Linked DNA regions of Macaca fascicularis. The protein of the gene in region 1 interacts with the protein of each later gene in a biochemical or structural test. Links are inferred from orthologs where the notes say so. Each region holds a gene or a part of one and is shown in the gene's direction. Other genes may lie near its edges.

Region 1 (3,749 bases):
ACCTATCACACCCATCCCTTACTCTTCAAACTGATCAAAACATGATATACAACACTGTACAGGCAGAACTCTAAGCCAGTTCCCCACATTCCTGGCCCCTAGAGAGCACACCTACATAATCCCCTCCCCGGAGTCTGGGTAGGAAAACTACAAATATGAGCAGATATCACTTCTGGGACTAGGTTCATCAAAAGGGAGATGTGACTGGGTCTGACTTAATCAGGTGAGCCTTTAAAAGGGGCTGGGGTCTCCCCGAAATCACAGAGATGGGAAGTGTGAGAAGGCTTGTGGAAGGGCTAGCTGACAAACATAGCTGGCCTCTGGCCAACAGCTGGCGAGACAAAATGGACCTCAGTCCAACAACCCCAAGGAAATTCTGCCAGAGGGCTTAGAAGGACCCCAAACCTCAGATGAGATCCCACTTGCAGACCCTTCGATTTCAACCTTGTGTGACTGAGCAAAGCAGTCAACAATGCCACGTCCAGACTTCTGACCTACAGGACTGAGAAAACGAATAGGTGTTGTTTTGAAGTCACTGATGTGTGGTAATTCGTTATGCAGCAAACGGAAAACTAACAACACTCAAGTATTTCTCTTATAATGTCTGGCAGATATGAGAGTTTTTCAGGCGTCGTTTTACAAATATCTTCCTAGCTGCTTTAAGAATAAACTTCTTTCAAAATGGACATGAACATTAATTGTGCAATATGTCCTTAATAATTCTCACCCTTTTCAATGAAAAGTCATTGAGTTTGGTGAGTCAAGATTCATTGAAAAATTCTTCAATGTTGATGGGCCTCTTTGGTGAGGTGACCTTATTCCTGTCCTGCCCCCTAAGGGTGGGCAGGGTGGACAGAACGCAGCCTGGACTTCCGGATGCAGCCCCCTACCGCCCGACTTGCCTACCCCGCTGGCCTCGGAGGGGTGGCCCTAAGCCCAGGACAGACGTGGACAAAGGGCAGAAAAAAGGATGCAGTTCTCTTTAATCCCTAACCCAATTTCTCGGGAAAAGCCGCGCTCCCACACAGAAGGCGAACCCTCTAAAGCTGTGGGTTGGCTGCTGTGCACGTAGTCGCTTTAGGAATTCCCAAAGCATCTAGCGGAAGTTTAGATCTTTCACTAGGGGTCACATGGGCCAGTACGGGCGCAGCTGGCAAACCGTTCCTTTCAGTTTGAAAGTATCTTGAAACTCGGAAACTGTGCTCCTTGGTCTTTCAGTTCATAAGCCTAGAGAGCGGCTACTGAAATTGGAATCGACATCTTCTTCCCTCGGCCCCAACTAGTAAACCACGACCAGAAGACACAGCCTAACCTAAACCTACCGGAGTGTCACAACCGGCAAGCGCGAGCAGGTCCACCAACTCCGCCTGCGCAAACCGGCCGTTCCCGCGAGATCGCAGGAAGGCGGAGAGAAAGGGCAGGGCCCCGCCGCGTGGGGCGGGGCTTAGAGGCTCGTCGCGCCTGCGCAGAGGACCGGACAACGCGCTGCGTCGTTACTTTTGAAACGCTTGGCGGGGAAGTGCTGTGGGAGCCGCTGTGGTTGCTGTCCGCCGAGTGCAAGTGCGTGCCTTTGTTTGTGTCCCTGGCCATGGCGCTGCAGCTCTCCCGGGAGCAGGGAATCACCCTGCGCGGGAGCGCTGAAATCGTGGCCGAGTTCTTCTGTAAGTCCTCGCGCCGGCCATTATATTGGGGGGAACTGAGTCGTGGCGGCTCAGTAGGCCCACAGCTCGGCCTCTGAGACCGGAGAAGTAATCTGGGAGCGGCGGCTGCAGGCTGTTCCTCCTGACGCGTTGCTATAACGTGGAGCTGCAAGCCTGCGTGCTGCTGGGGCCTACCTCGCGGCGTAGCCTCTTCCGGAGCGTTTCTTCCTTTAAGTGCAGATCCGTCCCACCTCCCACCCCTTACTTTCCGATACAGGACACAGCGTGACTGGGGTGGGTCCCAGTGTGGGTGTGTATGTGTGTGTTTTTTTTAACTGCGAGAGCACCCTCACCCTCCCACTCTAAGTGATTATTAGGCATGAGGCTGGCGGTAAACAAGATTTTGGGAACCCTTGTTCTCGAACAGGCCAGCTGCACGTTGTAAAGGAACCTGGCAGGATTTGGGAGGGAAAGGGGAAGATACAGGCTTGTCTGGAGCAAAGTGACTATTCAGTCAGTTGCTGACTCGAATGCAACAGCCTATTTTGACATCCTCTAGCCTCATAATCTGAATTTGGACTTGGATTACAATGAGGTGAAATTTGGCAATAGTAGGTTGATACACTTTGGCTTTTTTTTTCCTTGGCACGTGAAAACAATTATCTTTTTTTACTTAGATACAAGACTTTTAAGGATTTTTAATGCCACTTTGTACCTACTCTGCTTTCAGCAAGATACACGTGTGTTCAGTCATTTATAGCTGTATAGCCTAATGAAAATATAGCCACATCCAAATATATTTTATTTTCCAGAGTTATGCAGTGATAATGAATTTTCTGTAACATTTCTTTTGCTTGCAGCATTCGGCATCAACAGCATTTTATATCAGCGTGGCATATATCCATCTGAAACTTTTACTCGAGTGCAGAAATACGGACTCACCTTGCTTGTAACTACTGATCTTGAGCTCATAAAATACCTAAATAATGTGGTGGAACAACTAAAAGGTATTTAATCATTGGAAGTAATTTGAGTCTTGCAGATTTTTTAGCATCTCAAGTGGTCATTTTTCCGCTCTGCAAATAGAAGTGTACTCACATCTCAAATATATTTTAAGTTGAGAGGAAGCAAATAATATATAAAATGGAAGAAATTCACTCTTCCCCCACTACATTGTGAGTGGGCTGAATATTTTGATGTAAGAAATCTGATATGGCTGAAAAATAGTCTTCATCAACTCCCTTAGAAGTGGCTTTCGCAGTTAATGTGGCCAAATGGAACAGGTTGGAATTTTACATAATTATAACGGTGTTCACTATCTGAGAAAATATACACTACATATTCTCAATATAATGTATTTTCTGTAACTAATTAGTTTTCTGTAGTCTAATGTTATCATTAGATTAATATCAAGGAAATTGGATTCAACCAGATAAACTTCAAAAAAAGAAAAAGATTAGCTGCTAAATGACAGAACACTCACAGTTTTTTTGTTTGTTTGTTTTGTTTTTCACATATTTCTGTTTGTCGTTTTCAAAAATTCTGCCGGTGATTCAGTAAGCCTTTTCTGTCTGAACGTTCGTTTTTCTTTAGTTCGAGAAATTGCTGTATTACCTGTCGGGTGAATACTTGTTCTTCATCTATTTCTTTTTCCTTTCTAGAATTCCTGTTAGTTTCTCTTTCATGTTACCCTCCACTTAGGATTCTCATTTCTAATTTTTCAAATGTTTCTCCCATTTGATCTTCTAAAATTTTTGAAAGTACTACAGTGGGCATCTTTTTTTTTTTTTTTTTTTTTTTAGAAATTATTTCTTTTGTTGTTGACCAGAAATGTGTCTTTGTTTTGCCATTTTTATTGCATTTTTACTAACCTATTTTTAATATGCCCTTCCGATAATGGCCATGTGAACTTTTTTAGCTTGATAACTCTCTTTCAACCTATACTATCCTCTAGATAAACTGTTAACATTGCCTTGCCTTTTATGTGTACAGGAGTGGAATGCCTCAACAACCTGTGGATGTTACGTCTTAAATTGACAGGCAAGGGAAGATAGCCCTGTTGACATTTTGGCCTGGATATTTCTTTGGTGTGGGTGCTTTTCTGTGTGT
Region 2 (3,749 bases), on another chromosome or scaffold:
GCCTATTATCCCAGCTACTCGGGAAGCTGAGGCAGGAGAATCACTTGAAGTCTGGAGGCGGAGCTTGCAGTGAGCTGAGATCGCACCATTGCACTCCAGCCTGGGCAACAAAGTGAGACTCCATTTCAAAAAAAAAAAAAGCTTTTAAAAACTGGTTCCATAGCAATGCCCTGAGAGTTTGGGAGGGGGCAGTAGTTAATTTGGGATACGAGGAGGATCAGAGTGATGGAGTAAACTTCCCGGGGACAGGCACACCTTTCTTGTCTCCATCTAAGTCTCAAGGGCGAGGGAGAGAGCGGCACCTTTAGGTTTGTCTGAGATCACAGTGGTGAGGTGCATCCAGGAGTAAAGGTAGAGAAATAGAGGCCCCGCAGTGTGAGAGTGGATGTTGATTGCTTTGTGTGTTGAAGTGAGGAGTCAGCATTTAATTGTTGGCTTAGGATTGTTCTCAAGTAGTGGATTTGGTTTGCAGGTTCTGGGACAGGGTAGGACGTATGTTGGAGAGCTCAAGACCCAGAAATCCAATGTTATTTTGCAAAGGGAATTTTACAAGCAAAGTTTTCTGAGCCTGGAAGACACTTAGGAATCTTTTCCAGTCATCTCATTTTATAGACTGGGAAACCAACATCTAAGGAGATGAATGGATTTGCCCAAGGTAATGTAGCAAGTGGCCCTCCTGGGACTCTAACTCGTATCTCCTCTCAGTCTGAGGTTATTTCTCCTATGTCTTCTTAAGGCATGTTTTACACCTTCTGCCAGACTAGCCATGTCAGGCTCACAGTCACAGCACTCCACACAATGCTGACTGCCGTATCCTGCCTGGGTGCTCTCGTTCTTAGGACGGCCCCTGAGTAATGGGGTGCTCTTAAAGGCAGCATGAGAGGTTCAGCAAGCATTACAGGTCTTCATGCCAGTGAGGGCCCAGGCCACAGGACGGACAGTAATAAGTCAGGACTGGGAGAGGAGAGGTGGATTTTTAATCAGGGAAAAGTTTTCAACACAGAAAGACCATCCCGTTTGGAATGAGGATTGCAAATAGATTGCCTGAGGGGAGAAGTACGTAATCAGAAAGCATTCTTTGTTTATTAACTCCTGCCCAGCAAAAGTGAAAGAAAATTCATGGGAGCATGCAAGAACAAAGGGCACAGCAAAGCTGGACAAACACAGCAATCCAGGAGGGGATTTCCAATTCAACGCTGGTATATAAGCTGGAGTTAAAATCCTTTTTCTGTCTCTGGTTTCTGGCCCCTTGACTGCAAAGATGGCTCCCAATGCTTCCTGCCTCTCTGTAAGTTGGGATTTGATAAAGGGGATGGGGAAAGGAAAAGCACTTTCAAGAGTTGGGGAGAGATCTTAGAAACGGGGGATGGACAGTACTCAGGGCTCTGGGTGGCTGGGCAGGCATCCTTAAGGGGAAGAGGCTGGCATCGACATTTGCAGAATGGGAAGAGGAATTGTCTGAAGAGAAGCTGGTTATCTGGCTTCTGTGTTCTTTTTTTAATCAAACATTGGACTAGCTACTCTTAGGGATAAATGGTAGAAAAAAAAAGTGGGGGTGAGCTTTGTGTTCCACAGGGCTGGTGAGATTTGAAATTATGGAAACATTTTTTAGGGTTCTTAAACTTAATCTTCTCTTTCCTCTCAAAGGAGAGCTTCACAAAACTCATTTATCTGAAGTTGTTAATGATCTAACACATTACATTATATAAGAAAGTATGCACTATGGAGAGAACCTGGAATTAAGGCAATGCTTAACACAGATCCTCCAGTGAAGAAATGTCTGCAATATCTAGATTGGGAAAATATTTCTGAATGGAGTATGAGGGAGGTCTTCTCAGGCTTTCAAGTGGCCATTAGGAGTGAGTTTTCCAGTCTTTTAGGGTTTTCCAGCTATTGAAGTAAGACTTAGACATAGTCCCTACCTTCTGTGAGTGAGGCCCTGGTCTAATCAAAGGAGATCGTATTCTATATTAGATAGATATAAAAATACAAGAAATATAAATTAACAAGAAACACTGAACATAGTGTCACTGTAATATGTAAGTTATTATTGTAAAGCAGTGGGAGATTTGAAAAAAAAATAACAGTTCAGTGATTATGTGCCCTACCCAGGATTTCCTTCTGAAGTATTGACAGAGGGTATCCTATTGCTGTATCTTATGAGGCTGTCATATTTTAGAAATTCTCTTTGACAGTTGTTTTTAGAGTCTGGTGTACATCTTTTGAAGCTCTGTATTTACTTTTTTGACATTTGACAAACTTTATCTGGATAGGAGAGGCAGGTAAATAAGGTGGAAAACCTTTAATTACATCTCGAGATGAATAAAGGTATGTTTTTTACATCTATTGAAATGCACAGAAAAGCGAAATAAAAAATTGTCAACTAAAAAAAATCACACAATTTATAAATTTAGAAAGGAGACTTCATTTCTTATGAAGGGTTATAGTCTGCAAGGTAGCCATTCTGACAAGCTGAGAAGCTCGGCTTCTGGTTGAAAACCAAAAGCAAGCTTTGTAGGAGGAAAGTGACACAGGAATTTATGCTGAAGGGGTTTGCTAAGTATACATATCCAATAGGTTATGGCAGAGGCAATGAATATTCATGAAGGGAGTCCTAATGCATGCATGTTGAATGAGCTTGCATGTTATATACCACCCATGGTCACTCTGAGGTGGAGACTTAACATTTAATTGCATTACAGTTAGGCCTTATACATGAAAAGGTGAAGCAGGGACACAAAGGCATTCAAATGTGCAGCTTCTGTAGACTAGCCAGAACCAGTCCATGGTCAGTGGTCTCTTATCAGGAGAAAATTACTGAAATCAGTCATTTGTCCAATTAAAACTGTAGTTATGGCTTGAGGAACAGGGGGTCAGTTAGCCTGTGGATGAACTGTAATTGTTTTAATATTGTTCCTCTCGAGGCCAGTGCTTGTTTAGCTGCTACAGAAAAAAGAAAAATATTTTGTGGCAGTTAGAACATAGTTTATTCTTTAAGTGTAGGGATGCATGACTTAACTCTTGCCTATTATAGCCTTAGGTCTTGTTTAAAATTTGCTACAAAAATCTTATTGCCACCAATAATCCATTCTTTCAGTCTTATAATCTCTAACGTTGCTAGTCAGTTGTGTCTAAACTGCAAAAGGGAGAAGATATAATGAGGCATGTCCAGCCTCCTGTTTCATCATGACTGAGGTATTTTATTTATTTATCTTTTTGAGACAGAGTCTCACTCTGTTGCCCCAGCTGGAGTGCAGTGGTGCCATCTCCACTTACTGCAACCTCTGCCGTCTGGGTTCAAATGATTCTCATGCCTCAGCCTCCTGAGTAGCTGGGATTACAGGGACTCACCACCACGCCTGGTTAATTTTTGTATTTTTAGTAGAGATGAGGTTTCACCAAGTTGGCCAGGCTGGTCTCGAACTCCCAGCCTCAAGTGATCAGCTTGCCTCAGCTTCCCAAAGTTCTTGGATTACAGGTATAAGCCACTGCCCTTGGCCCAATGACTAAGTTCTTAAAATTTCTCTAGGGTCCCCCTGAGCAAGAGAGGGTCCGTTCAATTGGTTGGGGGCTCAGGATTTTATTTTTCATTCTCAAGATTGAAAAAAAGGTGTGATTATAAAGGAATGGGACAAATTTTCTTATTTGTGTTGCAACTTGGTAATTCCAAAGGAGAAGTTCCAAGAAAGAGAGGGACACTGGCTACTGAACAGGAGCTAGGAGACCAGATAGATAGCGGAAGGGTGGGA
Region 3 (3,684 bases), on another chromosome or scaffold:
AATGGCCCCGCGCAGACACTGCAGCAGCAGGGAGGAGGGAGCACGGCGGCTCGCGCGGCACGTTCGGGAAGGGGGAGCGCCAGGGCGGCCCTTTTATAGGCCGAAGCCCGCGCCCGCGCGCCCCCACCTTTCGCACCGCCCCCGGGCCACGCGCGGAGCCGCGGCGTTACCTGAGAAGGGCCGGCTGCCTCCGCACCCGGCCCCTCCCGTTCCGCCGCCCGCCCGCCAGCCCGCCCTTCCCTCCCGCGAGGCCGCAGCGGCACGAGATCTGCGCCTCGCCTCCCTCCTCCCGCGGACGGATTTTCTTACCTTGTGAAAAACCGTCTCCGCGGCTGCCCCCGCCTCCTCTGCTGGATGTGAAATGGCGGTCGGCTAGGCAATTGTGAGCACCGCAGCTCCTGCCAATCCCGCATAGCCGCCAAAACGGCCCCGAACACTGGCGCACCCCTCCCGCAAGCCCCTCGAAGCCCATCCATGAGATCGGTGCTCTGCCGCCCCTTCCGCTGCCCCTCACCCAGGTGACCGTGCCCGCCGGCCGAGTCATCGATCCCGCGCGGGCCCTGTCGGCCGCCGGCCGCCTCCCTCACTGCGTGCCCCGGGGGCGGGGGAGAAAGCACCTTCTCGGCCCCCGCCCTCCGTGTTCCGCCCGGGCGCCCGCCCGCTCCCTTCCTTTCCCGCCGAGCCCCCTCCCCCGCACTACTCGCAGCCCTCCCTTCGCCACACACACCCCCCTTTCCCCTCCCCCAGTGGTTGCGTCCGTGACATCATCATCATGGCAACAAGAGCTGCAGCCTGGGACCGAGGAGCCCGTGTGATTCCCGGCGGCCGCAGCAGTGGCGGCAGCACCAGCACCGACGAAAGCTCGAGGGCTTCTCTCCTGCGGCCTCTTGCCGGGTGCTCCTGAGGAGGCGGCGGCAGCAGCGCCTACACCGCCCCGCCCGCCGCCGCTCCTCGAGGTGTCTGTGTGTGAGGGGAGGGGGCCGAGCCGAGAAGGGGAGGGGGCGCCGCCGCTGCGGAGGGAGCCGCCGCCGCTGCTGCTGCCGCTGCCGGGTCGCCAGTGAAGGGAGGCAGTGGCGGCGGCGGCTAACATGTTTTCAGTGAGGATAGTGACTGCAGACTACTACATGGCCAGCCCGCTGCAGGGGCTGGATACCTGCCAATCCCCCCTCACCCAGGCCCCTGTCAAGAAGGTGCCGGTGGTGCGAATCTTCGGAGCGACCCCGGCAGGTAAGCGGGCGCGGGGCGGGAGCGGGAGTCGGCGGGGCGCCGGGGCCGCCCTCCCCGCCGCGCACACGCGCGCACGCCGCCGGCGCCGGCCGTCTCCGTGGATCGCTGCCGCGTCTTCCCTCTCCTACGCCCTCCTCGCCTTTTCTCTCGCGCGTGACAAGAGGCGCAAAAATGTGGGTCCGCGCGAGCGCTGCGCGGCGCCCCCACCCCCGGGCAGGGAGGCGGCGAGCGCCGAGTGTTTACACGGCGTGTGGCGGCCGGGAGCGGGAGCCGCACTCCAGGGCGCGAGCCGGGGGAGCGAAAGCCGCGAGCGCCCCGGACGGCGGGCCAGGTGGCCGCGCCATGCCCATCGGTGGACGGGTTCGTAGGGTCCGCTCTGAGGTCGGTCGCTAGTGGGACCCCGGGCATCCCTTGTGTCCCTGAAGTGCCGCTTTCTGGAAACGGGGAAGTGTCAGCCTTGTTGTCAGTCGCTCCCCATGGCCTCTTTTCACCCTCGCTCTCCTCTGCCCCTTCCGGAGATGCAGTGGGCCGAAGAGAGTGGCGCCTGGGGCCAGATAATCTTTCTCACTGGGGTGACCGTGTGACTCTGCTGTGAGTGCAGGTCTGATTCCTTAGAGTTTAGTGCCAGAGCGTCTGGGGACAGGGCAGCATCCTCAGGTGCAATGCTTTCAGGAAATGTTCATCCATGAAAGTAGGAAATGCGTGTTTATGTTGCCCAACGTAAAATATCACACTTAACGGGGTGAATTTATTAGGAACCACAGCCCGACTCAGCAGCACAGACATTTTGAAAGGCTCCTAGACTGGGCTGTAGGCTTGCGTTTTAAGTACAGGTATATTTTTTAAACACAACTATGTTGAAGCAGGGGTGAGAAGGGGAGAGACAGCAGTGCAGAAGGTACGTTCTCAAAAACTCTTGGGGTTTATGATAATATAAAAAAGATAGAGGCCCAATTTACTAGGTGTTTTAAAATGGTTTTGCTTTTTTGTATGCTTTGAACTGCTTCCATGAAATAATGGAGTTCTAGGAAATAATGCCTCCTAGGAAAGGATGCTCTTCCCTCTAGCTATGAATTGCCCTATGGGATTTTAGATAGCATTTCCCACTTGATGCTCCTTGCCCTCATCACCATTCATCTTGTTACTACAGTCAGTTTCTGTGGACTACCAAGATAATAGCGCTTTCCCAAACACAAGCACTCATTCTAAGCTGTTATCTTTTAATGTGAATTCTCTTTGTTAAAATGTCAATGTCGTGAGATTTGGTAGCATATTCCTTTTTAAACTAGTGAATATGATTTTGATATGAACCTTGAAAGATGGGGAATTTGAGTGCTTTTAACGTGTTGAAAGTGTAACACTTGAAACTTTGGAGGCTGGGAAATCGAGGAGATGAAGTGTTCTATAAAATAGGTTTTCTGCCCTTTTAGATGTAGTGGTGCTGTCTTTGTTTCCAATTGGAATTTCACTGTAATGCTCTGTTCTCACTTCAGATGCAGAGGAAGGATAAGATAGTGAAGTTGATATGGCTCTGTTCAGCCAGATTTCCGAATCATAAAGGGACATGCTAGTAGGATATACTGTGGCATTTCTGTGTATTACAGCTTGTATTGTTTGAATTACTTTTCCACACATAATTTTTTCTCCTCCACACAAGTCATTAAATATGTTTACCTGAGAGATAGTCAAGCTTTGTTTCATAGGAAAGTTTCGTTTGTGGAAATAAATGAGTTTCACTATAAGCTAACTAATTCTATAACGTGAGAAATTGCTCCTTAAAAATATAGAATATTATATGCTTTTGTTTTTCTGAATATTTTTAAAAAGACACATTAACTGTTTCCTATTTCATCCTTCATGGGCATCCCACAATAGATTACCAGCCCCTTATTAAAAAAAAAAAAAAAAAAAAAAAAAACCCATAAAAACCAAAGACTAAAAACCCCCACTGTGTGGTTTTTTTTTTTTTTTTTTTTGGTATATACTTTGAAATTTATATTTTAAATGAATTAAAAAGTGACACTTTTTATATGTACATTGAAAGACATAAAACTTGATACAGAGAAAGTCAAATTTTAAATTAAGGATTATCAAATTGAATTTGCTATATAGTTCACAGTTTGCAACAAAAATGTTTGTTTCAACAAGAAAAAATTTGAAGTCATTGGCATACATTTAGAGTTTACACTTTTCATAAACCAAGCCAGCATTTTTATTAGTACGTCAGAAACTCCCAGTGAGATTAATATTAATTAAACATAATCAAAAACTGCAGAATTATCTGCTTTTGAATTATCTCCCCACGGAAAACTAGTCCAATAAAATAAAACGTGAAAATTATTAATATTAAAAGAGAGGCCAGTCTGACTTAGTAAAACTGAATGCTAGAATTTTTAATGAAGACAGATATGTTTAAAAGTAAAGATGTAAACATAATGCAAAGATATGAACGTAGTT

The links. The genes of interacting proteins can lie anywhere in the genome.
Region 2: the proteins of MAD2L1 (region 1) and UBD form a complex in vitro, tested with the Homo sapiens proteins (2 studies listed by BioGRID). The link is inferred for Macaca fascicularis from reciprocal best matches to the Homo sapiens genes MAD2L1 and UBD.
Region 3: the proteins of MAD2L1 (region 1) and REV3L form a complex in vitro, tested with the Homo sapiens proteins (2 studies listed by BioGRID). The link is inferred for Macaca fascicularis from reciprocal best matches to the Homo sapiens genes MAD2L1 and REV3L.

What each region holds. Positions count from the first base shown.
Region 1 is NC_088379.1:125,169,963-125,173,711, reverse strand, and holds the start of MAD2L1 (mitotic spindle assembly checkpoint protein MAD2A), read left to right. Parts: upstream 1-1,459; 5' UTR 1,460-1,588; coding exon 1,589-1,661; intron 1,662-2,500; coding exon 2,501-2,647; intron 2,648-3,749. UniProt on the Homo sapiens protein: Component of the spindle-assembly checkpoint that prevents the onset of anaphase until all chromosomes are properly aligned at the metaphase plate.
Region 2 is NC_088378.1:143,645,761-143,649,509, forward strand, and holds the start of UBD (ubiquitin D), read left to right. Parts: upstream 1-1,230; 5' UTR 1,231-1,261; coding exon 1,262-1,288; intron 1,289-3,749. UniProt on the Homo sapiens protein: Ubiquitin-like protein modifier which can be covalently attached to target proteins and subsequently leads to their degradation by the 26S proteasome, in a NUB1-dependent manner.
Region 3 is NC_088378.1:15,534,052-15,537,735, reverse strand, and holds the start of REV3L (DNA polymerase zeta catalytic subunit), read left to right. Parts: upstream 1-809; 5' UTR 810-1,088; coding exon 1,089-1,227; intron 1,228-1,351; exon of another isoform or gene 1,352-1,661; intron 1,662-3,684. UniProt on the Homo sapiens protein: Catalytic subunit of the DNA polymerase zeta complex, an error-prone polymerase specialized in translesion DNA synthesis (TLS). Lacks an intrinsic 3'-5' exonuclease activity and thus has no proofreading function.